Linked DNA regions of Macaca fascicularis. The protein of the gene in region 1 binds, or shares a complex with, the protein of each later gene. Links are inferred from orthologs where the notes say so. Each region holds a gene or a part of one and is shown on either strand. Other genes may lie near its edges.

Evidence for each region.
Region 2: SMARCD3 (region 1) and SMARCA4 share a complex: the UniProt entries of both Homo sapiens proteins name them as parts of the BAF complex. The link is inferred for Macaca fascicularis from reciprocal best matches to the Homo sapiens genes SMARCD3 and SMARCA4.
Region 3: SMARCD3 (region 1) and DPF3 share a complex: the UniProt entries of both Homo sapiens proteins name them as parts of the BAF complex. The link is inferred for Macaca fascicularis from reciprocal best matches to the Homo sapiens genes SMARCD3 and DPF3.
Region 4: SMARCD3 (region 1) and SMARCC1 share a complex: the UniProt entries of both Homo sapiens proteins name them as parts of the BAF complex. The link is inferred for Macaca fascicularis from reciprocal best matches to the Homo sapiens genes SMARCD3 and SMARCC1.
Region 5: SMARCD3 (region 1) and PHF10 share a complex: the UniProt entries of both Homo sapiens proteins name them as parts of the neural progenitors-specific chromatin remodeling complex. The link is inferred for Macaca fascicularis from reciprocal best matches to the Homo sapiens genes SMARCD3 and PHF10.
Region 6: SMARCD3 (region 1) and SMARCA2 share a complex: the UniProt entries of both Homo sapiens proteins name them as parts of the BAF complex. The link is inferred for Macaca fascicularis from reciprocal best matches to the Homo sapiens genes SMARCD3 and SMARCA2.

Annotation. Positions count from the first base shown.
Region 1 is NC_088377.1:192,527,733-192,532,551, forward strand, and holds the start of SMARCD3 (SWI/SNF-related matrix-associated actin-dependent regulator of chromatin subfamily D member 3), read right to left. Parts: upstream 3,215-4,819; 5' UTR 2,817-3,214; coding exon 2,739-2,816; intron 476-2,738; exon of another isoform or gene 239-475; intron 1-238. UniProt on the Homo sapiens protein: Involved in transcriptional activation and repression of select genes by chromatin remodeling (alteration of DNA-nucleosome topology).
Region 2 is NC_088393.1:11,528,765-11,532,829, reverse strand, and holds the start of SMARCA4 (transcription activator BRG1), read right to left. Parts: upstream 2,801-4,065; 5' UTR 2,625-2,800; intron 1-2,624. UniProt on the Homo sapiens protein: ATPase involved in transcriptional activation and repression of select genes by chromatin remodeling (alteration of DNA-nucleosome topology).
Region 3 is NC_088381.1:140,763,275-140,767,517, forward strand, and holds the start of DPF3 (zinc finger protein DPF3), read right to left. Parts: upstream 2,801-4,243; 5' UTR 2,788-2,800; coding exon 2,756-2,787; intron 2,750-2,755; exon of another isoform or gene 2,576-2,749; coding exon of another isoform or gene 2,167-2,575; intron 2,117-2,166; coding exon of another isoform or gene 2,043-2,116; exon of another isoform or gene 1,918-2,042; intron 1-1,917. Other genes in the region: uncharacterized protein, read right to left, coding at 2,043-2,116, 2,167-2,575. UniProt on the Homo sapiens protein: Belongs to the neuron-specific chromatin remodeling complex (nBAF complex).
Region 4 is NC_088376.1:110,703,931-110,708,210, reverse strand, and holds the start of SMARCC1 (SWI/SNF complex subunit SMARCC1), read left to right. Parts: upstream 1-1,480; 5' UTR 1,481-1,576; coding exon 1,577-1,771; intron 1,772-4,280. UniProt on the Homo sapiens protein: Involved in transcriptional activation and repression of select genes by chromatin remodeling (alteration of DNA-nucleosome topology).
Region 5 is NC_088378.1:1,310,712-1,315,001, reverse strand, and holds the start of PHF10 (PHD finger protein 10), read right to left. Parts: upstream 2,801-4,290; 5' UTR 2,728-2,800; coding exon 2,641-2,727; intron 1-2,640. UniProt on the Homo sapiens protein: Involved in transcription activity regulation by chromatin remodeling. Belongs to the neural progenitors-specific chromatin remodeling complex (npBAF complex) and is required for the proliferation of neural progenitors.
Region 6 is NC_088389.1:97,177,729-97,181,876, forward strand, and holds the start of SMARCA2 (probable global transcription activator SNF2L2), read right to left. Parts: upstream 2,801-4,148; 5' UTR 2,661-2,800; intron 1-2,660. UniProt on the Homo sapiens protein: ATPase involved in transcriptional activation and repression of select genes by chromatin remodeling (alteration of DNA-nucleosome topology).

The DNA of each region.
Region 1 (4,819 bases):
GCGGTGAGCCGGCGTCTCCCCTCCCCCACCAGACCCTCGGCTGGTGACCCTGAGCGCTGAGCGATGGGTGGGAACGATGGGTAGGAGGGGCAGGGGCGCCGGAATACGCGCGGCTCTGGCGGAGGGGCTTGGCGTCTGGCTGTAGGAAGCTAACTGAAGCCAGGCACCGCACAGGGCATTGCGAGCCTCGGGGCTACGGAAGGTACCGCAAAAATGAATATTAATGGCTTCTTTCAACCTTTCAAAGATGTTCACATCCACATGCTCCTCTACAAGACAGTCTGAGCAGGTCCTTTCATCCCCACTTGACGGATGGGGCCACTGTGGCTCAAGGAGAAAAACGACCTCGCCAAGGTCACACAGCTCATCCAGGCCCGGCCAACCCCTGAAGGGCTGCCTCCTGGGGGCCCAGGGCTTTGCTCTCTGCAGCTTGGTTGAAGTCAGGTACCCGGCTCCCTGCTCCGACTTCTGCTCCTCCTCCTGCTCCTCCTTCTCAGGCTTCACTTCTTGGGCGGTTCTGCCTGGCACTCACTAGCTCCTCATCTCAGCCACTCTGCTCCCTGCTTTGACCCTTCGGTCCCAAACCCCACTCCCCTCGACTGACTCCAAGTCCCCACACCCAGGGTCTTCGCTGACCCAGGGTCTAAGCTGCCCTCATAATTTGCTCCCAGGGTGAGGGCTGGAGGCAGGGCAGGCAAGGGCAGCCTTTGGGGGCACCCCAGACCCTGCCAGGATTATCTGATTGGGAGGAGGGGAGCTGCGTTGGAGGTGGGCTGCCCAGGGGGCCTGAGGTGGGTCAGGGCAGTGACACTTCCACTCACATTTCCCTTCCTGTCTGCCCAGGTCAGCAGCCACCTCCTCCTCTTCCCATCCCCACCCCAGCAAGGTCAGCAGTCAGGGTTCAGGGGGCTGTGGAGACTGAGAGGAGGCGGCTCCTCCTCCCTTGCCACTACCCCTGGGTGGTCAGATGGGGTGTAAATGAGATGCAAATGCATCGAGCGAAGTGTTCCAAACCCCACTTGTCCAGACTCCAGAAGGGAGATGGGGAGGGCCAGAGAGAGTTTCAGGGGCTGTGAAACAGAATGAGTGGGGTGGGATGGGGACTGGGACCACGAGAGCAGGAAGACGATCAGAGGGCAGGGGATGCAGACCCTGGCCCTGTTAACATGGACACATCACCCACCTCATCCCCAGGCATGAGGAGGGGCCCCTTGGGCTTGCTGTTTTCCTTCCAACTGCTACCTCCTCCTGGCCCTCCAGGCTCTGTGTCTAACCCTAATGTCCTCCCACCCTCGGTCAGCAGCTGTCTCTGCCTATCTCTCCTGCAGTGAAACCTGCCTGTCCATGTGTCTGCTTCCCTCACCCCACCTGACCCTGTCACTCACGCCTCCAGGGTAGCGGCCCAGAATGGAACCCAGGCCTGGCCACCAGCTAGATGGGGCACTGGGGCTCACAGTCACTCAATAACTGAAGCTCTAAGTTGGCCAGATAAAAAAAAGTCCACGTGTGCAGCCTCTCCCCACTAGATGGGCCTTTTTAAAGGGGCTCCCACCAGCAGCCAGGTTAGGATTGGTAACTCAGCTAGCTGACATGGACACTTTGGGAAGTTACCCCCAGGGGTCCCTGGGGTTGGAGGATGGGCTACTCCAGGGAGGCCCCCTCTTCCTGTCAGCTGCTCTCCCCAGTTATCAAGGCCAGGGATACTGGCTCCTCTGCTGAAGAGGCCCTGAGAGGGAGGCTTCCAGAGCCCCCAGAGAGCTGTGCCCACCTCCAGCCCCACCCCCATGAAAGGCCAAAATCCTAGGGACTCTGGTCTTACTGAGAAGGTGCCTTCCTTGGGGTCACAACCAAATTTGGCCATAGTAAACCTGACAGCTTCTTCTACACAGGGCCTCCACCCCCTCACCCATCTCAAGAGTCGCAGCCCCTGCCTCTCCCATTCCACACCCCTCCACACCCCTCCCAGCCAGGCCCTACTGACTCAGCTCCAGCCTCCCGGGCTCCCACGTGCCTTTGCAGCCTGCCTGTGGCAGGACAGTGCTCCCCTGTCCCTTCGGTCTCTAGGCCTCACATCCCCAACTCCAGCCCTTCCTTCACACCTTCGAGGAGTTAAGGACATCAGCTTCTGGTGGCTGAGTCCGCCAAGGGGACCCTCAGAACCCCTAACTTGGGCTAAGTCCCTAGAGCGGGCCTCTCCCCGACCCTGAGGCAGAAGCTCCAGAGCCCTCCCGCTGAGATGCAGAGGTGGCTCAGCCTGCGAGCTTCCCACTACAGTGCCTCCAGGGTCACCTGCTCCTTGCTCCGGAGACACAAGCAGTGACACTGTCCCAACGGATGAACAGACAGCCCAGCCCAGCCTCTGCCATGTCCCCATCCCCCACCCCCACCCCCAGGGCAGGGGCAACACCTGGGCCCACAAGGAAAAGAACGAAAGTCAACCTGTCGGCTACAGCGAGGACTCCCCACTTGGGGGGGAGAGTCCCCAAGTCCCACCCCCGCCCCTGACAAGAGCCATGCAAACGCCTCCCTTCCCCGCCTCGCACCAGACCCGGCCGGCCGCCTGGCGACGTGTTCGGGTGCCAGGGCGCCAGCACAGTCCCGGAGCCGGGCCGTGGGCCATGGCGCCCCCCACTAGAGGGGTGGGAGAGCGGGAGTGCCCTCCCGGCCCCTCCCGATCAGCCCTCCATTCAGCCCGAGCCAGCTCGCTCGCCCTCCCCCTCTAACTTTCCCCCACTCACCACCCCATGGACCAGAAACTCAAAAAGTTTGCTTTTCGTGGCTTTGCGCGCCCCTCCGGCAACTTCGTCCGCGGCCATCGGGGTGGGCTCAGCGGCTCCTCTCACTCTCTCTCTCTCTTCCTCTTTCTTTCCCTTTTCTGCCTTTTTTTTTCCTCCAACTCTCCCCTCTGAGTCCTGCTGGGCTCTCTCACACTTCTACTCGAGCGGAGTGGGGAGGGGGCCCCTTCAGGGCTGCCCTGACGGCCCACGGCCCACGCCGCCGCCGCCCGCCCGCCGCCGCCGCCGCGGCCGCGGCTGCCGCATTCCTGCACTGATAAGACAGAAATAGTCCGGCGGCCCGGGGTCTGCCTGTTGACTCGGCGGGGACGGGGCCGCCTGCCTTTCCAAGCCCGCTGTCCAAACAGCGCAGATAAGCGGCGAGGCGCGCCGACCAGCCCGGCCGCGGGCGCTGGGCAGCAGTGCTGCAGCCCGAAGCCGCCGAGGCCCGCGGGAGGCGGCGCGAGGAGGGGACGCCAGGGGAGGCGGCGGGGGGTCGCCGGCCACCGGCTCTCGCCACAAATAGTTTCTCCGTCAGGGAATTCGCCGGCCGCGCCAGGCAGGGAACAGTCAGTTCCAACTTTTCCCCCAGCGGGCTCCTGCTGCATTTCTGAGGCCCTTTCCCCAGAGACCTGGCAGGCCGAGCAGGGAAACATTCGCTGGCAGGAACCGGGGGAGCCCGGCCCGCGAGGCCTCGCGCCTGCCCGGGGCCGGCGGCGGTGGGTGTGCCCGGGCGGCGGCGTGGCCCTGCGTCCACAGCTGTGTGTGCCCTTGTCTCACACGCCGTGTGTGTCCGCGCCCTTTTGTGGTGTGTCAGCTTATGTGCGTGCAGACAGACGCCCTGTCTGTGTGCCTCCCTCCACGACAGCCTCCGTGCGCGCGCCTGCGTGTGTGGCAGGACGTGGCCTGTGCCTTTCAGCTCTGTGCAAGGCTATTTCTGGGTATGTGAGTCTTTGTTTGCCGTTCTGTGAGAAAGTGAGGGCAATAGGGGAAGTATTTCAGAAAGAGGGACAGGGATTGTGTTCATGAGAACAGGAAGAGAATGAATGTGGGGAATGGCGCAGCGCCAAGGGGGTGCTTGGGTGGGTGCATGGAGAGAACGAGGCAAGCCGAGCTTGGTTTTCTTGGGGTGGGGGTGGAGTGGGGTTAGGGGACCCAGAGGAGTTGGGGCAGCTGGGCTGGGTATAGTGGGTATATTGGGCCGGCCTCAAGACCCCAAAGAGAGGGATCTTGAGGCTGCGGTGTGGGGTGGGGTGGCAAGGGAGCCCCAGAAGGGGCGTGTGGAAGGAGTTGGCAGTCCCTGGAGTGGAGGAGGGACCGGAAGGAGGAGGGGCAAATCCTGACATACCCAGGCTGGGAGCCCTGGGCCTACCCAGGTCCCCAAAGGCCACGCCCCTTTTCCCTCCTTCTGGGGGAGGAGCCCGTGGGCTTTGGAACAAGGCCCCTTGGGTCAAGTTTGGGGGCCTGCTGGGGCCTCACTGTGAGAATCCAGGTGAAGGCAGGGCCATAGCCTAGTGCCTAGGGGAGTTTGTTGAAACACTTATTTGAAGTTGTGTCCTGAAGACTGAAGTGTCCTGACCCTAAACCCTTCAGAATGCCTTTGCCTAGGGGTCTTTTCTGCCTGCAGCCTGATTTCTGCTGGCCCTGGTTGTGCTCTTGGCTGTCACTGTTCATTTGGGTGTCCACTGTCAATCTGAAATGTCAGGGAGGGCATCTGGTCCAGGATGCTCCTCTACCACCCCTAGCTTGAAAGGGGACCTAGAGATACCCTTGCTGCCAAATCTCTCCCAGGGCTTTAGCCTAGACCCCCCCTCCACACCCACACACAGAGCCTGGGCCCTGACAGGGTGGGGATGGGTGGGTGGCCTGCCTCTGTCTGCCACAGGTCATGCAGGTAGCTGCTGGGAACCTGGGGAAGTGACTTGTCCAGTCTGCCTGCTAACCTCCAAAATCCCTGCTCACTCCCATTTCTTAGCCCCTGCCCACGATTCTTTTACCTGGAATGTCCTTTGTCTGCCCTCTGCCTTCCCTCTGCTTGTCCAAAT
Region 2 (4,065 bases), on another chromosome or scaffold:
AAAAAAAAATCGAGTGTTCACTATGCATCAGGTGCTGCAGTGTGTTAGCGGCTTCCCATGTGACCTCATTCAACCCTCACAAGAAGCCTGTGAAGTTTCAGGCATCCTCGTCCTACCTGTTTCACAAGTGGGGGCCCTACTGCTAAGCGCCTCGTTTGAGGTTAAGCTAGGATTTCAAGAGCTGGGTGTGAATTCAGGAGGTCTGATTCCAGAATGGGTACTCCTTACCACCGCCCCACGCTAACCACCACCCCACACTTTGTAGGGGAGAGGAAGACAACTGAGGTTCGGGAAACAATGGCTTGGAAAGTTCCAAAACTGTTAAAATAACTAACCTGTATCCCTTACAACCCATGCCCAGTTCTGCACCAAGCTTTTTTTTCTCCTTTTTCTTTTTTTTTTTTTTTTTTTTTTTGAGACATTCTTACTCTAGTACCCAGGCTGGAATGCAGGGGCGCAAGAATGGTTCACTGCAGCCTCCACGTCTCTGGTTCAAGCAATCCTCCCACCTCAGCCTCCTGAGTAGCTAGGACCACTGGCACATGCCACCACACCCAGCTAATTTTTATATATTTTGTAGAGATGAGGTCTCACTATGTTGCCCAAGTTAGTCTCAAATTCCTGGGCTCGAGCAATTCCCCCACCTCAGCCTTCCAAATTGCTGGGATGTCAGGTGTGAGCCACTGCACCCCACCCTGCACCAAGCCTTTTACACAGATGGTCACGTGATCTTCCACAGGACCCCACCCCCCTCATTCAATCCACAGAATTTCTCTAAAGACCTACTATGTGTCAGGCCCAGAGTACTCTGGGGTCAGCCAGGCAGACACAACCCCAGCTCTCACGGTGCTGGGGGTGACAGCTACACCGGAAAGGACCAAGGTGATGCGTGAGTATAGCTGAGGGGAACAATGGCTAGTCCCAGGTGGCCAGGGAAAGTCAAAATACACTTCTGGCGCGGTGGCTCACACATGTAGTCCTAGCACTTTGGGAGGCCGAGGTGGGTGGATCACCTGAGGTCAGGAGTTTGAGACCAGCCTGGCCAACATGGTAAAACACCATATTTACTAAAAATACAAAAATTAGCCAGGCGTGGTGGCGGGCACCTGTAGTCCCAGCTACTCAGGAGGCTAAGGCAGGAGAATCGCTTGAACCCAGGAGGCAGAGGTTACAGTGAGCGGAGATCGGGACACTGAACTTCAGCCTGGGCGACAGGCAAGACTGTCTCAAAAACAAAATACAATCCTACATATATCCTCCCTGATTTTGAGGGCCCCTCTTTCAGGCAGCCCCCGTGATCTCTGGCTACCACCGATCCCCTGCCTGTCCGCTGTGTCCCTCTCACAGCGCAGGTCAAGAGCATTAAATGACAGGCCAAGAGTGTTTGTTCCCACGTTGACCACCCGATCCCCTCCAAGACTGCAGAGGTTCCAGGATCCAACCCCCCGACCATCCAACACTTAGTAGGACCTCAAGAAGTTATTTGCTGAACAATGAGGGAGACTGAACCAGACAGTAACAACAGTGCTTCCCACTTGCCAGGAACCATTTTACAGGCTTTTACCAACTGCATTTGGGAGATTACCCCCTTTCACAAAGGAGCTTTCACAAAGGAGGAAAACTAAGAGGTTCAGAGAGGTTAAGCACTTCCCTAAAGTGACAGTGTGCTAAGTGACTGACAGCACCAGGAATCAAGCTTAATGCACCCTATCAATCCAAACTGAAAACTTGTTTCAAATTCCTGCGAAGTGGCTTTTCCGCTTACTCCCTTTCTACTTTCCCCAAGGAGACATTGACCAAAAAAAAAAAAAAAAAAAAAAAATCAAGACTGGTGTCTTCAAGATCCGGACAAAACACTCGCCTAAAAGGTCCACGTTGAAAATAAAAGCCTTAATCTGAAAAACCAATTGGGAAGGAGGAAAAAGGATGCAAAAGAAAAGCAATGCTTTTACACAGCAAAGGATTTCCACCGTGCTCCCTTACTTGCCGCCGACCCCATCCCCAACCCCAATTCCGGGCAAACATTTTGAAGTCACTAACTGAAAGTCATTGGGGGAGTCCTTTACCTTTCCTTGAAAATCTGGAATGACGCGTTTTTAAGACAATTTGAAGTCGGCTAGCCCAAGGGGGCCGCTAATGCCCGTGTCCGGCCGACGCCGGACATATCTGGAGGTTTGGCTACTGAGCCCAGATCGTAGCTTCGCCAAAAAGGCAACATTCGGGTCGGACCCCTTAACACGCAGCCAGAAAAGCCCCAACGCCTGCCTATTGTTGGAGCCGCTGCAATTGGGAGGGCTACTGTAGGGGTGCCGGGCGAGGGGGGCGAGCTTTGTCCGGCGACCCCGGCGAGAGCGCGCGCAGAGAGGATCGCGCGGCCTCCACGCGGCCCGGGCCCCCCACCCACCCCGCCGCTCCGCGGGGACCGCCGCTGCCGCGGCCTCGCGACGCTGTGGCCTTCCCCACGAGCGCGGCTGCCGGCGGCGCTTCTTGACCCTCGGGCGCCGCCGTACCCCGGTCCCGCACAGGGCGCGCCGGCGGCCCCCTCCCCCCTCGGCGCCCCGGCTCCATTCAAACCGCCCTCCCTGGCCCCGCGCCGCGCTGCCCCCGCGGCCCGCGTTCCTTACCGGGAGCCGCCGGCGCCGTCGCCTTCCCGGCGCCGCCCCCGCCCCTCCGCGCGGGGCCGGGGGCAGAGTGGGCGTCTCGCTTCTCCTCACGAAACAAAGAAGCCGCCGCAGCCGCCAAGCGAGGGGAAGCCTCGCGCGCGCGCCCGACTGCCTCGGCCACCGCCCCCCCTTCACACACACGCGCGCCGCCCGCGCCCCCGCTACGCGCGCGCTCGCCGGCTCCCCTCCCCCTCAGCACCGCGGCGGCCTCTCCAGCTTCCGCCGCCTGCCCAGCCTTGTGCGCGCGCCAGCCCGCCCTTCCTCTCCCCCCGCGCGTGCGCGCCCGCTCCAGAGCTGACAGAGGTGGGCGTGGTCCGGAGGAAGCACGCGCGTCCCGTGCACCGCCCCACTCGGGCTGCGAGGCCTCGCGCCTGCGCACGGGCAGCTTCGCCCTCCGCACGCCGCGCGTCCTGACGCACGGGAGCATGCGCAGAGCGGGCGCCACTGCGGCGGCGACGGCGACGGCGGTGGCGGCGGGGCAATTGGGGGATGGGATCCCGGTGGCTGTGGGATCCATGGGGAAAGGAGGTTCCTGAGGCTCGGAAATAGGAACCCTGGACCGTAGGACCGGCCGCCTGGGCCAAGACCGGGCAGTGGTTTTCCGCGGACCAAGGGCGCGCTTGGGAACCGCTTTGATCCCTGATCTGGGGCGGCAAGGCCTGTTTGGGGAGCTAGGCGGGGCCCGACCGTGGCCGCCTTCTCTGCAAAACCTCCCGAGTGCCGTTAATTAGCTTAGCAAATATTTATTGATCTGCTACTGTATCTCAGCCACCGTGGATCCCACGGTCTAGTGGGGGAGGAGGACAAGAAGCAAGATTAATAAGCAAAAGAGCGCAGTGTGAGAGGCTGAACTTGGTGGCTCACGCCTGTAATCCAGCACTTTGGGAGACCGAGGCGGGCGGATCACCTGAGGTCAGGAGTTAGAGACCAGCCTGACCAACACGGTGAACCCCGTCTCTACTAAAAATACAAAAATTAGCCGGGCGCGGTAGGCCACGCCTGTAATCCCAGCACTTAGGGAGGCCTAGGCTGGTGGATCATGAGGTCAGGAGATCGAGACCATCCTGGCTAACATGGTGAAACCCGGTCTCTAGTAAAAATACAAAAAATTAGCCGGGCATGTTGGCAGGCGCCTGTAGTCCTAAACTACTCAGGAGGCTGAGGCAGGAGAATGACGTGAACCCGGGAGGCGGAGCTAGCAGTGAGCCGAGATTATAACATCGCATTCTAGCCTGGGCAACAGAGCAAGACTCCGTCTCAAAAAACAAAAAAAGAGGCCAGGCACGGTGACTCACACCTGTAATCCCAACACTTTGGGAGGCCAAGGCAGGCAAATCACAAGGTCAGGAGTTCAAGACCAGCCTGACAAATATGGTGAAACCCTGTCTCTACTAAAAATACA
Region 3 (4,243 bases), on another chromosome or scaffold:
TTTGTGTGACCATTTTCTGTAGGGGGCGTCCGTGGTGTTGGCTTTTTTTTTTTTTTTTTTTTTTTTTTTTTTTTTTTTGGAGGGAAGAGAGAGACTCAGAACGCACACAGAGAAAATGCTAATGTCATTCAGCTCTGTTTCATTGTCAGGAGGGACACATGAGGATAAAAACATAGCTCTCCAAACCATTCTCTCCGCTACCCCTCCTCCCTGCACCACCACCATCCCTTCGGCTGGATGTGTCTCTGCACTTTGTTCTAATTTATCCCATGCATAATTTATTCACGTTTGTATTGTTTCCTGATCAGCAACTTTTAAAAACAAATGAAATATATAAGATGTTTTATTAAACAAGTTGTTTAAAAAAAAAAAAAAAGGCAGATGGTGTCCGTCTCCCAATAACAACGTGTGTGCTCCTGCATTAGGAGTTAAAAACTGTCCAGGGTGTGAGAGGCTGGGCTGGTCAGGGGTATTGTTTACACCCCTTTACCCCCAGGGAAAGGGTCTGGGAAGCAGAAAGGAATGGCTAATTATAAATGACCACTCAACTCCCACCTAGAAAAAGCAAGCAGGGGCGTTGTGTGTATGCTAGTGTGTGCATGCGTGTGGCGGCACAATTACAAATACATCACATTGCAACTGTTTCTAATTATACAAAGTACAATTCAGAACTAATTCCCCTAACCAGCCGGGATTCCGCCACCTTCTTTCCCCCCCGTCTGTCCCTTCCCCCACCCTTAACCCCACCCTACACAGACTCCCTCCCCAAACGCGCACCCTACTGTGATCCAAAAAAACCCTGGAGCGAGCAGGGGAACACTGAAGCTTAGAGATACTGCGCCCGCCCGCGCGAAAGCGGGCTCCCGGGTAACTAGGGTACGGCTTTCCCAGTAGGAAACAAACCTGGTGCACATGTGAAATAGATTCTCTAACTTGAGTTTACCAGGTGGCATCAGCCTGGTTATGTGATTTCGGCTGGATATGGGGAAACTGCAAATCAGTTGTGGGTTCGGTAGAGACAGCATCAGCGGTGTTGCAGCGAAAGCAACCGGCAGCGAGGATGCGGCGAAGTTACGCCCATTTATTCTGCCATAAAACATTTTCTTTCTTGGATGAAACGCTGTGGCGTTCAAGTGCAGTGTATCCGAGCTTCCGAGGCAGAACTGAAGCCGGGAGCTCCTATCTGCTCAGCCTCAGCTTCCAACGTCCTCTTAACGGCAGCTTTCATATAAATATCTTTGAAACCTGGGGCATTCCTACCCGTTTCCCTATTTCTGGTGGGCGACGAGCTGGTGCAAACACGTCTGATTCTCCCTGTGCATTCCTTTGCGTTAGGAACCCCCCTACCGTCTCCGGGAGCGAACCTGGTTTTCAACTCCAGGAGTGGCGAGGGGTGAAGACGAGAATGCGCTGAATTAAAAGAAGCAGGGTCGACAGTGGCCACGCACCAGGGAGAATTCGGCACGAACCGCCCCCTACCCGGCCCGCACCTCCCTCTCCCCCTCTTTGCCTGCGGCTTCGTCCGGGCGGGGAAGTCCCGGTCGAAGGGGTGCGGACCCCCAGCCCACCTCGAATACGGAGGGAGCCACCCTCTGCCGACATCACCCAATAGCACCCCTTTCAGAGCGACACTAGTTTTCCGAGGCCACCCTTGGCTCCGCGATCGCGAGCGGACTTGGCGGCTTAACAGTTCCACCGACTGGAAGGAAGGAAGGAAGGAAGCCAGGATGAAAAGGAGGAGGAAGGCAGGCAGGCAGGCAGAAATTGGCTGTTGGACCCGGGGCTGGCCCCCGCGAGTGCTCGTCCGGCCCGCCCCACTCTGTCCAGGATCTGGACAAGCGCTCAAAGTCTCCCCGGGGCGGCCAGAGGCACCTGCCCCTCGCCCGGCCGGGAGCAGACGCTGCCCCCTCGGGCCAGGAGCCCCAAAACCGCCTCTCCGCCTGCCTCGGCGCCTCACCCAGAGGTGGCGAGAACACCATTCATAAGACCTGCGGCTTCCCTGCCTCCAAATCCACCCCAAGTTAACCCGAGTCGTTAATCCACTACAGCCAGGTTGCTCGCAAACACACGAGCAGACACACGCGCGGTCGCCCGGAGCGCCTCCGAGATCCGGGGGCTGCCGGGGAAAGCCCGGGGCGACCACCTGGGACCCAGCGCGCCCGGGACCCGCTGCTTCCCCCGCGGTGCTCCCAACTCCGGAAGGTTTGCACAAACTCCCCGCGAGCGATCGGAAGGCGAAGAGCGCCCTGCAAACTCCGGAGCCTCCGCGGTGCGTCCGCCGGACCCAGCAGACCCAGCGGCGGGGCGGGGGCCGCGGGCTTGGGGGTGCAGGGCTCGGCCAAGTGCACCGAGGCAGTCCCGGCCCGACGCTCGCCCCCCGCCCGGCCGCCCCCGGAGCCTCGCTCCCTGCCCGCGAGGCGGGGGACTCCAGGGACCGCGCTGTCCCCGAGCTCCCGCGACCCCCCTGCTGTAGAGCGCTCGAGCGCCGGGCTCCTCCGCCGGCAACCCCTATCTCTCGCTCTCTCTGCAATTTAGCAGAACACAAATGTAACAATTTTCTTCTTGTTAATTGCATCTCCTGACATTTCTGCGCGTTGGGGGAAAAAAAAGAAGTAAGAGCTGAAAGAAGAGAGAAGCCCCGCCGCGGCTGGAGGCGCCTGCAAGCGCAAGCACTGGCAGCGCTCGCCACGCAGAAGGCGCCTTTTTTTTCATATTGAAACCACGCGGAATATGTACATTTTTTAGTCTTACTTACGCTTTCAGGGGGTTGTGAATGACAGTCGCCATTTTGCTACAATGTAACAGAATATTGTCTGTCTCAGAGTTCTAAAGGTTCGCTCAGGGGAAGCGACAGGCCAATCAGAGCGCGGGATACCGGCCCGCCGGCCAATCGGCGCGGCTGGTCGCCAGGTGGGCGGGGCCTGCTCGGTGGTAGTTATTAGGGGAGCTGTCAAAGCCCAGAGGTCACTCCCTTTTGTAGAGCCCGAGAGCCAGCAGGTCTTAAAGGGGAAGTACCGCGTTGGCAGCTCCTTTTCGGGCTGGGGAAAGTGGAGACGCACGGGAGAATATTATAGTTTGGTTCAACTCCCTACTTTTCTAAATAACTGCAGAGTTTGCGCTCCTGGACAGAAATATTTCAATATTGCCAGCAAGCCACTGAATCCTATTCATTAGCTTTTGGCTTTGCATATCAACATTTTTAATCCCCCAAAGGGTAAATCCCCGTGTTTCAGTACAAAAGTTGGAAGGCTGCCGCTTCGTGTAACAAATTACTTCGTGTGCTTTGCCGTTTGCTAATGCTCTGGGTCCTGCTGCTTTTTAATATTCTTATTCCCGAAGTGTTCTCTTTATCTCCGCCACCTTCCTCTCTCGCTTCTTGGAACTGCCGCTGCTGTTCCTGGCGACTCCAGGACAGCAACTCACCCTCCCCCTGGAATGCCTCAATGTCAGGCTCACTCCCTCCTGCAGCCAGGGCTTTCTTTACGTAGTGCAGGGGGGTTACTCTGCGCGGTCCGCCGCTACCACCCCTTCTGTTCTGCTCCCTACACCAGAAACTTCCAAAATGCTCAGATTCCTGCTCGGTGGTGCGACCTGGAGCTCTGACCTTTAGGCTTAGAGGTAGGGAGGACTTGAGGCAACCTTTGGAAACTTTCTACTACTAGGAAGCAAGTGCCTAGGCAGAAGTCGTAGAGCCTGGACTGGGTGTTGTCAGAGTCCCTTTAGAGGAGTGGCACACGCGATTCTGACGTCACCTTTCACTACTTAGAAGGTGGAAAGAATTTGCTAGTGAATAATCCGATGTGACCCGAGGCGTCCAAAGAGTCTGTGTCTGCTTCAAGTCAGTGTGAACTCTTCACTGGCGAGCCCCTGACAAAATTGGGAGACTTCTGCGAAGTCAGGCTTCCACTGGGCACCGGGAAGCTCTGCGTGGATGAAACCGCATTAAATCGAGAATAGGGTAGGGGCCTCGTTAGCATACAGAAGTCTGGCTACCATTCCAAAGCTGTTTAATCAGGTCAAATAGCTAAGATAGTGGGGGAGGGGTGGCAAGGGGAGAGAAGTTGCCAAATTGCCAGTTCAAAGCTATGCCCTCTCGCTTCCTTTTGCTCCTCTCAAGACAATGAATAAAATAAAATAAACATTCCAGAATTTCAAGAGTTCAACTACATACGCTATTAGATTTACAGATAAACAGAAAGTGACTGAATAACTGTTTGTAATAGATTTGAAATCTTTAACTCCT
Region 4 (4,280 bases), on another chromosome or scaffold:
GCATGCACCACCACGCGTGGCTAATTTTTGTAGTTTTAGTAGAGACGGGGTTTCACTATGTTGGCCAGGCTGGTCTCGAACTCCTGACCTTGTGATCAGCCCACCTTGGCCTCCCAAAGTGTTGGGATTACAGGCGTGAGCCATCTCGCCTGGCCCTCCTGATCACATTCTATTCATTTTTTTATTTAATATATTTTACTGTCCGTGACACAGCCCTCAGGAGATCCTGAAAACGTACATACCCTCATTTTTAAAAGGTCTCAAAACCTTATCAGCAGTTAGTCACTTTCTCATAAGCAATTAGTTACTTGCTTCTCTGAGATCATATAGCATTATGTTCACAACTCCATTATGGCCAGTCGTACTTTTTGAAACAGGGTTTTGCTCTGTCGCCCAGGATGGTGTCGTGAGTGGCGCGATTATAGCTCACTGCAGCAGCCTGCATCTCCCCAGCTCAAGCGATCCTCCCACCTCAGCCCTCCAAGAGGCTAGGAGCACAGGCTTGCAACACAATGCCCGGCTGCTTTTTGTACTTTTTTGGAGAGACGGGGACGGGCGTGGCGGTCTAGAGCTCCTGAGGTCAGTCGATCGTTCCGCCTCAGCCTCCCAAAGTGCTCCACGCCCGGCCAATCATACCTTGATAATTTAAAAATTTTCGGCTTCTATATGGGCCATTCATTAATTCATCAAGTATTCACTGTACATGTATTCATTGTCTCAGGTGTTCAGGATACACCTGTGAACAAGTTAAGATTAGGTTCTCATGTAATTTATGTGGAAGGTAAATGAGAAACTAAAAACACCGGGTCATGGTAAGCGCTACGCAGAAAGTGTATGGGTGTGAACAGTTCAAGATTGTAAGATATGACAACGGCTTTCTGAAGTCCTTTGAACCAGTGAATCTGAACGCGTCTCATAAGTGAAAATCAGAAGGGAAGACCCGCTGAGGTCTCCGAAACAGCCGATGCAAGGGCCCGTGGGGGCAGGAATGAGCCGCTGTGGCTGGACCCCTGAGGGAGTGGAAGGTCTGTGAAGCCGAAAAGCCTTGGCGTGGGCGTCCCAGATGGCTCTTCCCAAATGCCGCCGGGCCGCTGGGGGTGGAGGGTCTAAGGGAAAGCCGGGCCCGGCGCACTCGATACCCTAGGCAGGCTTTCCCCTCGGCACTTCTCGCACCAGACCTTTTCCCTTCAGCGGAGGCAGGCTATGACACAGAATCAACCTGCGGTTGTTAACCGCATAACGATTCGACGTCGGTAGCGAGGGAAGAGCATGGCTCAATAACCGGCACTCACTAGGGGAGAACGGAGCCTACAGAGGCTGGCGGAAGAGGCGGCTGGACGTGCTAGTCCAAGGCGCGCCCGCACGAGTGCTGCGCATGCGTATGCGCGGGCTCGCGTCGGATACGGCGCCAGTCCCGAGAGGGGGCGGGGCCGGGCGTCCGCACCGGAAGGGGGTTGGCTGGGCGGGGCCGGGAAGCGGCAGTGGCGGCTACGCGCGCGCGGGCGCGCGCGGGAACGAACGGGAAACACCGCGAGGGCTGGGGTGGGCCAGGCTGTGGGGACGACGGGCTGCGACGATGGCCGCAGCGGCGGGCGGCGGCGGGCCTGGGGCAGCGGTAGGCGCCACGGGCTCGGGGGCCGCGGCGGTAGCCGCAGGCCTAGCCGTTTATCGGCGGAAGGATGGGGGTCCGGCCACCAAGTTTTGGGAGAGCCCGGAGACGGTGTCCCAGCTGGATTCGGTGCGGGTCTGGCTGGGCAAGCACTACAAGAAGGTGGGTTCGCGCGCCCATGGGGGCCGGGAGACCACGCGACTGGGGCCGGAGGCGGCATCTGGCCTCGCGGGCCTCGGGCCTCCCCTCCCCCCCGCACGCCACGAGGGACAACAAAGGCAGGCGCAGGGCCCGCCACGCCCCCGCCGTCCGCTCTGGGCGCCCGCGCGCCGGTGGCCTGACGGGTCAGGCGCTTGTTCTTGTGAGCCCACGCACCCCTGGCGAAAGCCCCTGCTCAGTCTCGTGTGCCAGAGCAGGTCGAGCTCAGCCACTAGGCGAGTGTGACTCTCTTTTGTCAGCTGCCTTAGGTGTATGAACAATGATCCCTAAAGACCGAGCAAGCGTGGTAAAAGCAGCTTCAAGTTTTGTTTAGAGAGTATTCAAAGTCTCGAGGGGGTTTGCTACCTGTTGTTGATTTGCTAAACGACTGGGATGATTGTATTCGTTAATTACTAACAGGTAATGTGAATTCTAGGATGGATGAGAGCTATTAACGACGGTTTCTACCTCATTGTGCTTCTGGTTCTGTGTGGCGTGAGAGTTAATGTTCACTTGTACGTAAAGTGTTCTTCAGGGAGGCCTTCCGAGAACCCAGTTTTTATTAGAGCACTTTTCTTATGTCACCTTTATTTTCTTCGTAGTGTTTACCACATTTTGAAATTAGTCATTTACTTATTTATCCTACCTTTGGAATGGAAGTTCCGCCGAGTCAGTAGTTTTCAAAGTTTTGACTTAATCCCTTGTTTATAACATTTTTTTTTTCTCCAACTTCCCCTTTGTGTAAATATTCCGGAGAACTCCCTTAAAGGGTGTAATGAAGCAGGTAGTCAAAAAGGCTCCCCAGCCTCTGAAGTTTTCCTATCACCCTCTTTAATTCTGTACTTTCTCCTATTGAGGATCATAGCACTGAAGAAAGGGCTTTGTTCACTACAGTGTATCCGGGAACGTGGCTGATACTTAGTGCCTTACCCTTAGTAGCTGCTTAGTAAATATTTGTTTAATGAATGAAAAGATAAACTAGGAACCTATTTATTTGGCCTTTACAGCTCAGTGAAGCCTGTCAGTGTTTGGCAGTTATTAGGCATGGGCAGGGATCTTGGGTTCCTTTGGCATTACACGTGGTACATTCGGAAATGACCATTTCTGGCCGGGCGCGGTTTGGGAGGCCGAGGCGGGTGGATCACCTGAAGTGAGGAGTTCGAGACCAGCCTGACCAACATGGTGAAGCCCCGTCTTTCCAAAAAATACAAAATTAGTCGGGTGTGGCAGCACACGCCTGTAATCCCAGCTACTCGGGAGGCTGGGGCAGGAGAATAGCTTGAACCTAGGAGGCAGAGGCTGCAGTGAGCCGAGACCGCACCATTACACTCCAGCCTGGGTAATAGAGTAAGACTCTGTCTCAAAAAACAAAAACAAACAAGCAAAAAACAAACCCCAGAAATGACCATTTCTTTCTTTCTTTTTTATTTTGGAAGTTCAGCTGGGAAAAATTACATTTCTTGTCTGAAGTTTGAGGAAGTGAGAGACAGTAATTATATTTTTAGGTGCTTGGACCCCCCCCCCAAATTACATTTAGACTCTAGATGTTTAGTAATATTGCCCTTTCTTACACAGTGATAAATTGGTCACTTTTTATTTTATTTTATTTTATTTTTGAGACGGAGTCTCGGTCTGTCGCCCAGGCTGGAGTGCAGTGGTGCGATCTCCGCTAACTGCAAGCTCCACCGCCTCCCGGGTTCACGCCATTCTCCTGCCTCAGCCTCCCTAGAAGCTGGGATTACAGGCACCCACCACCACGCCTGGCTAATTTTTTTGTATTTTTAGTAGAGACGAAGTTTCACCGTGTTCGCCAGGATGGTCTCGATCTCCTGACCTCGTGATCCGCCCGCCTCGGCCTCCCAAAGTGCTGGGATTACAGGCGTGAGCCACCGCGCTTTTTAAACGTAGGTAATAGAGCTTCCAGGAGTGGCTAGTGGGATTGAATATGTTATGAAAATATTGGTTAATTCTTTCTTATTACATTCCTTTTAGCCAATGCTTTGGGTCTTAAATTCAGTGAAGCTTTAACAAAGAAAAATAATCTAGAGATGTTCCTTTGAATATCAAGGAAGAGAGTAGAAAAAGGCAAATTTCAGTAATTTCTACCTCTCCACACTGTTCAGTGTGCATCAGTTTGGGACCAACTACAAGAAGCTTTAGGTGTGGATAATCATCTTCAGATATTTGTTTGGGTGGGTAGGGAAGTGGCTACAAAGCAGTTTGAAGAATTGCCCAGTAGTATTGAGACCACTAGGCTAATGTTGATTCACTATCCCTGAGACTTTATAGACAAAGTTGTCTTTGACTTCTCAGGACTTTGTAAAGCCAGAGTGTATTTCTGTGGTCTACTGAGATTGAGAATCATATATGCCCTAGGCCTGACAGCCAGAATCTTTTCAGTCTCTGGGTGTTAGTGTCGAAGTGGTGAAAATATTATCAGAAGGTTCTTTGCTTCTTTTCTACACAATGCATT
Region 5 (4,290 bases), on another chromosome or scaffold:
GCAAGACCTGGAATAAAATTTAAAACTGATCTTCAATCCAATCAAAATAAGAGTATTTTCAATTAACCCGTAAATGTAAATCTGCTTTTGCTTTCTTGCCAACTGAGGTTAAAATGCTTTCTGCTCTTCATAAACACATAAAACTGCTGCATCACTCTAGGATTAAAGCAAACTCTCCTACCCAAGCCCAGGGGGGAAAAAATGTATGGATCATTTACAGTTCCCAGTTCAACTTGGAGTCGGTTCATAGGACTATTTTAATTGACTAGGCATTTATGTCCCCATGAAAAGGGGACATACAAGACTGAAAACAATTCTAACTATTCACTCTTCCTCTTACATTGCTAAAGGTTAGCAAAAATATACCCTAGTAAGGGTCATCAATCTATAATATAGCAACACACACTTCAAAAAAAGAACCTTGAGAGGGGGAGGGGAATTTTTTTTTTTTAAGGAAGAGGCTTATATATTTTTAATGTAATACATTATGTGGCAAGAACATGAAGGTTATAAATTCAAACACTGCACTCAGAAAATGTATCAGATGTTAGGAAATTGATTTATTTACTTATCAGCCAAAGCTTAAGGTCTAAAAAAATCATAATTTTTAAAATGTAATATAGCTTTTAACGCTAATCCAATTTTGCTAAATATCATGGTGTTCTTGCTACATATTAAAATGAAAGGAATCCTACAAAAGAATATAAAGTGGCAATATGGTATAGTGGCCAGGCATGCCAGAGCTGGACGGCCTAGGTTCTCACTGGGCACCGTCCCTTACTAGCTGAGTAAGTTACTCTCTGTAAGCATCTCCTTATCTGAAAATTTGAGATTATAACAGAGCCCCTATTACATGGCTAATTCAATGATTAAATGAGCTACTATATTAAAAGTACTTAGAACAAGGACTAGCGAATTATCTGACAAATACTAGTTAAAATGATGATTATGATAATAAAGTCTCAAATGTCCCTAGCTCCTAGGAATTTACTGGTTCCTTTCCAAATAGTAAAATATATAATCTTTTTCAGTCCTTATAAAATTAGCATTTCATTAAAGAGCTCTGCACAGTCTAAATCTACTCTCTGAAAATTTGCATAAGTATCACAACTGCAACATTTCATATTCAATACTTTTAACATAACTCATTTTAAACATTCCAGTATTTTTTTTCTATTTTATTTGTGAGCATTTTAAGGATTTTTATGTCCTTAAACTTAAGTATATTTCCCTTTAGCTAAAAAATTGAGACACTCAAAAATATACAAAAATAGTTAAAAATGCAAAGTGCTCAAAAAAGCTGAGACTACAATTTCAAAAAGTGTTTTAAATTACTAGTACAAATTCTAGGCAAAGGCATTATTATACAAAGTGAGCATCTGGGCAGAGAGCCTTTTTCTAGAGAGAGGTAGTAACAGCAATATTGTTCCCAATACACGACGGAATAAGGTAAGAATTTCCGTGTAATCGCAATACTGATACACAGGCCCATGTTTTCAAAGACTCCCAAATGTACTAAATCAGAGATGTGCCTTCCAGAGTTATAGGTGGTTTCCACCTACGGATCAGATGAATTTCTATGCATCACGTCCTTCTTAAGGCTCAGGGGTCAAGAATGCACTCAGTGGGCACTAGCTCAGTGCCCTCCAGGTGCCGGGCCAGACGTCAAACACTGGAAGTGCAAGGCTGTGCATTCAGAGTCTTACAATCTAGTTACTTCCATTGGCGAGGGCCTTTGAGGAACCTTCAAAACAAGTCTTTCTCTTACGGCACGACAGACGTGCGCAACGGGAAAAGCTCCCGGGCAGGCGCAGCCCCGCTAGGCTGCCACAGGATGGCTTCCCCTGCCAACGCGCACACCGCACACCGCACACCGTACGAAGGCTGGCTGGCTCTGAAGCATTTCAGTTCCCGCCGCCTTCTAATTTCAACCCAATTTCAAGTTTCGAGGCTTTTAAAACATCATTCCTCCCTTCCAACCTTCTGTCACAAACTGCTAGCCTAACTTTGGAACCAAAACGTTTTGATGCGTGACACTCTACTGCTCATCTCCATTTTCTCCACAAACACCAATTTTTCACCTCCTCAAGCAGTAAAAAGTTTAAAAAAAAAAAGACTTCCGCCGAAAACATCCGGACGCTTGCGTATTTACTTAGTTATTACACTAAGTTCACAAACTGAGTGTGTTGATTTTCCATATCGTTCGCCACTCGGTTTTTTGCAGTAAGCTTTCAAACACTTCAGCAAACTATGCGCGGAATGAAGACTGAGCGAACTAGCGCGCTTCTGCAGGCCCCTCCGAGGCCAACTCTTTCGGCCCCGGACGCGTTCCGTTCCGCGGCTAGCCCCGGAACAGGCGTTTTGGGGACAAGCTTGTCAAGCGGGGCCGGCCGCCAACTTCGGGGAAGCCGCGCCGCGTCCCCCGCCCGCCCGCCCGCCCGCCCGCACTTGTTGCTCGCTAGAGGCCGCGGGCTCCCCTCGGGGCCCCGCCTGGCCGACCACCCCCGGTTTCAGGCGCGGAGCCCGGCCTGGGGCCCACGCCCCCGAGACGCTAGGCGGCCGCCGGTGGGACTGGGCCGAGGCCCCGGCACACGGGCCCCGGACGGGGTCAGGGTCGGGTCGCACCGGCCGCTTCCTCACCTTCGGGGACTGCGCTCCGGGGGTAGCTGGGTCGCTGTCGCACGGCCGCGGGGACAGCGCAGCCCCGGGCCCGGCCGCCGCCGCCATCAGCCCGAGCGCCCCGCGCCGCCGCCGACGCCGTCGCCTCCGCCTCGTCCCGGCCGCCGCCGCCGCTGCCGCCGCCGCCGCCGCCGCCGCGCGGGCCCCCCGCCGCCCCGGCCCCGCCCCCTCCGCCCGCCCGCCCGGGGGCCGGCCCCTGCCGCCGCGCGCCCCGCGGCCCGCCAGCGCCGCCGCCACCGCCATGGCCGCCGCCAGCGCGCTGCCCGCGCGGGAGGGCGCCAGAGGCTGGAAGGGCGCGGGGCTGCGGGCCGGAATGGAGGAGGCCAGGCGGCGGCGGCGCTTCTCTCGTCAGCCCAACCCGCCCGGCCGCGGCCGCCGCCTCAGCACCGCCGCCCCCCACAGCTCCGCCGATGGCCTAAGCGCCGCTGCCCCCCCCACAGCGCCGCCGCGGCTCCCTTCAGCCCCGCCGCTCGCTCGCCTCAGCGCCACCGCCGCCTCAGCCCCGCCGCTCCCCTCAACCCCACAGCCGCCTCAGCCCCCCTGCTCCCCTCAGCCCCGCGGCCGCCTCAGCCCCGCCGCCGCCTGACTCCCCACGGCCCGGCGCTGTACTCGACCGCGGCTCCCCCCAGCCCGCGGCGCGCCCCACCTCCCGCCCGCCCTCCGGCCCGCCCCGGCCCGGCTCGTCGCCACTTGGCGCGCTCGCAGCCGCCCCCTCCCCGCGGCCCCCGGCCCGGCCCCTCCACGCGTCACCCTCGCTCCCTTCCTCTCTCCCGGTGGCGCCCGCCCTGCCCTGCCCCGCCCCGCCCCTCCGGGGGTCCCCGCCCCACCCCCTCCCTGCCGGGGGTCGCCCTGCTCGGAGCAGCCGCGCGGAGACTGCGCGGCCTCCGCCTCCGTGCGCTCGCAGTCGTCGCTCCTCGCCCGCCTTTGTTCTCGGACCGCCCCTCTCGCTGGCGACGCTCCGAGAGAGCCGCGGAGCCACCTGCCAGGGCCGCGCTTCCCCGAGCATCCAAAGCTGTCCCCGCGGGCTGTCGACGCCCGCGCCGGAGCGTGCGGGAGGCACGGCGGGAAGAAGTCGCTGAGATTTGGCCCTCGCGGCTTTGCGTTCCCGCGTGGTTGATGCCTCCGCCGAGAACGCGGTCGGCCGGGAGCCGGGGAGGAGCCTGGACGCCGGCCTGGCAGGTACCCCCGCGAGAACGTGGGAGCCGGTGGGTTTCAGATGCATTTATTACTGATGTCGGGCTGCATCAGGGCACTTCTAGGACCGCACTGAAAACAGCGGGAAGTGAGGAGCCGAGCCTGGTCCGGGGCGGCCCGCCATACAGCTGGCTTGCGTCTCCAGATGACTTGTTCTGGAGAGTAAAAAATGCTGTCGGATTTAAAGTACAATCCTGTCTCCTTTCCATTCATTAGTGTTGCCTACACTCAGCAAACAAAAGTTGGGAAAGATGAGGGGAGTATTTCTAGCGCATCACATTGACAAACACCGACGTTAACACGCCCGGTCCAGCCTGGCCCACTTGCCTCAGGTCTGAGAGGTCACCACTGACAACGCCCGGACTTCAAGCCACTCCTAATCCAGCTTCGTTCTCTCCGCCGCAGCCAGACCAGCCC
Region 6 (4,148 bases), on another chromosome or scaffold:
AGAAAATCAAATTTTTAATTAAAATAGAATCAGAAAAAGTCATAGTTTAGAAGGATGCAAATAACAGGAAAAGAGGGAAAAAAGCAGATTGTCAATGACTCTTAAAGAGAGAAATGTGTGCTATGGCAAGTGGTATTTATTGGTAAAGACCAAAGTAATTTACAATTTTTTTAAAAAAAGATGTTCATATTTTGCTTATTAGTGCTGTGAAGAATCAGTACTACAAGTGGCATGATTAAACAAGGGATGCCTTTTTTTACCTGCTTCACAAAATTATTATAAGAATTAAATGTGGTAACATATATGAAAGCAATTTGCCGATTACAAAGTTCTCCATAAATGTATAGTATTGCCAGAGCAGCCATTCCTTAGAGACTATCAACTTTGGGTCACTAATTTCTATGTGGCTTCATGGGCTTTAATTCAATGAGTTTCAGGAAATAATAGGCCTTGATCAGCGCTGCAGAATTTGCCCCCACAAGAATACCAAATATACCGCCTGCAGAGTATTTTATTTGCTTTAAAGGCCAAAGATCTTTTTCTTATTTTAAAAAATGCATAAGATTTTCTGTTTCTGAAACAATAAGTGGTACTGACATCTCTCAAGACTGAAAGCACTATTGTCTCATTTTAAGAACCACCTTCTTATTAGGAGAGGATGTTGTTGGCAGGAATGAATAATTAGGTAACTCTTTGTGGGCACATTTTCTTCAAGTCCCAAGGGGAACGTACAATTGTAACATCTCCTTGGATTATTTCACAAACATATGGCAAATGAAGCACCTGAGCCAGATGTACAAGCATATTATAGTATGTCTGTTTTAACTTAAAACTGTGAAATACATCAGATGGTGAAGTTATTTTGGTTGTGAACATCCATCATGGAAACAGCATGGAAGCATCTTTTCTTTATTGTCCATTTTACTTGGACTGGAAATAATCAAGAACAAAACAGTTTGGAAATCATCATTTGCAGTACAAGATTCCAGGTAAAGTTCAAGACCTAATGAAGTACATGGTCTGGATTTAGCTGGGCCTCAGACATCCCCACATAGTTTGTTAATGCCTGTCACCAATATTCACTGCTGGCAGGCTTGGAGTCTCAGATTACCTATGATTATTTTCAGTTCTTTTTTACCCCATCATCTTGTGTTTTTACTCCCCTAGACATGCATGTGGGTTATTTTGTAGGTATTTTTTAAATAATGAGAATATATTTTCTACTGATTCAGTAGCGAGTTTTTGCTGTTTTTTTTTAACCGTATTTTATTATTACAACATTGGTTGCTTATTTTACTAAAGAATCATCATCTGGTATTGGCTTCTTGGAATCATAGTGATCTAAGCAGAAATATCCATCCCATTTGCTTTTGAAATATATTTCAAAATGAATGGTATACTTTTTAATCTGAATTACTCATGTTTCAGAATTAGAAGCTATAGGTGCCACAGAACCCTCAAGTGTACAGTAAGAAAATAAAGAATACACAGGCACGGGCAACTATATTCTCCCTTCAATGCATATGCGCAAATTCCATTAGCATTAATGAGTTCTCTGCACATGTACTTAAGAGAATGTGGACCAAGTCACAATGTAATCTATTTCTTTATCCAAGTTAAAAAAGTGATGGGGCGGCGGGGCTTGCGTTGTATTCCTGAGCTTTTCTTGAGAATTAGAATGATACAGGGCTGAGAGCATGCAAACAGTATGGTGGCAGCGACACCAGGGAAAAGGCACTTACTTTTTACAGCCAGTATGGCATACAGCAGAGATTTGGGGGTTGAATTACTATGGTTGGCAAATGTTGAAGCTGACAATAGAGGTCCACAGAGTCCTGGATATTCTGGCTTTGTGTTGCATCAAAATAAGGAAACAAAATATTTATGAACTTAATTCTGCCTCTCATTTTTTCCCCCCTTGAAATGGCAATTCTCTGCATGATGATGTGTATAGATGTGCAGTTCAGATGTGTTCCTAGCCAACACAGCATTTCATAATGCGGTGCACCTGTGTTTTCTTGGTCACCCTGTTGTCACCAGGGTGTGTTAAAGCACCCTCTCCAAAATAATTGAGTAGGAGGCAGGGCAGGAAGTGTCAGGGAAGGGGGCAGGATCTCTCCTCCGCCTTTATTTCTAACGTCTTCTCATTTGGAAAGATTGGAATGTAGATTTAATTTCAGGTGACAATGTCAGGTTTATCCCAGTTCAGAGATGTTGATAAATCCTGGTATGGGACTGCGGTGACCCTGTGTGCCCTCATACTCTACCTATCTCACAGGGATGTAGCTGTGTTTATAAAACTCACATCTAATATTGCAGAAGTGCTAAGGTCAGGGCATCTGAGCCACACGGTATCAGGCATACAACCACACAAAACTGTGCATCACGCAGAGGCCCCCTTTGTAAAGCTGCTAACCCAAGAACCTCTCTCCCGGATCAGTGGAGCCTCCAGTGTATGAATGACCCTTAACCTTAGCAAGCCCAGCACTCTGATGAGTCTGAGAAATGCACTTTTAGCATTGGGAGAAGCCACAAAAAGCTAAACAAAATGACTAGCAATGAAGGCAGACAACAAAACAAAGATACTGAATTTGTGCCCTTACCTTCATTTCCCCCCTGAAGATTTAAATTTCTGATGGTAAAAGCAATAATATTCTGACCTTAAAGGGCTGAGGTTCTGTGGCCACCGGTTGTTTAAAGGATCATTCCTCAGCGGCATTGTATCACCGGCCCTAGCAGCGGCGGCGGTGGCGACAACCACCACAAAAACTGGAGTTCAGTCATATTGGCATCAGATTCTGGAAAGGGGAGGGCAGGGAGAAAGGGAGTCTATTGGCCTAAAAAGCTGAAACATCTGCTGGAGTTATTAACAGCTTTTTGGCTGAGTTCAGCAGCAGGGCACCTTGTGGTTGATAGATTCTTCTCTCAGCAATTCAAAACAATGCAGTTAAAGCAAATTCCTCATTTTCAGAGCCCAGCTTAATGAGGCATACAGTATTTTAAAAATAGTCACACTTAAAATGGTCAATAGCAGTGACTGCAATCAGTGGTTACCTTCAGTACTCTATTGCGTTGTTAACTTTGCCAGGGTGATTGCATAACACGGATTTTTCAAAAGACCATGTAGCTCACTGTTAACTCACTTTGTAGGAATTTACATTATTTATGAAGTTTATGCAGATCATCCTAGGGTGTAAATACTGGCAAACTTGATCAAAACCACTTAGAGGCCTCCTGGCTATCCTTTCCCAAAAGTGTGCATTAAGCCACTTTAGGCTCAGAAGTCCAATTCCAGGAAAGGTTCCAAGGGGCCAAATTTTGGAGATAAAATGAAAGGCAACATGTGAACAGCCTGAGCTGGAAAAAACACTGAGTTGGAAGTCAGGGTCGAAGGTTCTAGCTCTAGTCCTAATACTAACTGGCTGTGTGAGTCCTTGCGGGAGTCACTCAATCTTTCTGCTTCAATTTCTTTCTGTATAAATTTATGGGGCCAATTAAAGGGTATGTCTCCAAATGTTTCTGTCCAGCTCTGCCATCTTAGGAACTATGGAGCTCAAATCCAATTTTAAAGTATTCCCCTTATGATAGCCATGAATTGCAACCACACTGAAGACTGTTCACCAATATGTGACAGTATGTGTGGTATTTGGGTAGGGGCATCAGACGAACAAACTGCAAAGTTAAATAGCTCTGTCAGTCACTTCAAGTGAATGCACCATATGCTGCAACAGACGTGGGCAAAGTACAACCAGCCCCAACTGGATTTGCTAGCCTGTTAGTTTATCTGGCCAGATGACAGTGTCCAGCCCCAAAAAGGGTCATGCGCAGCTTTGCATCCTACTGATCCAGCATGCTAACTTTGGCAGAAGGAAGGGAGTGGCAAGGGAGAGAGAAGGCAGACCAGTGGTGAGTCAACATCTGTGACAGAGCTGAAGTCAGCCTCACTCCTCTTTCATCACTTGCCTAGCACATGGAAAGAGAGGAGAGAGAGTTTGCCAAGTTATTGTTTCCTCCAGCAAATACATGATCTGATCCCCAGTTGCAGAGGCAAATCACAGAATGGTGCCCTCCTTTCTGCATTCTGGTCCAAGGATCTCTAAGGACAGTGCAAGAATTCTCTATTAAACATTTTTTTCTGGTTGGTTCTA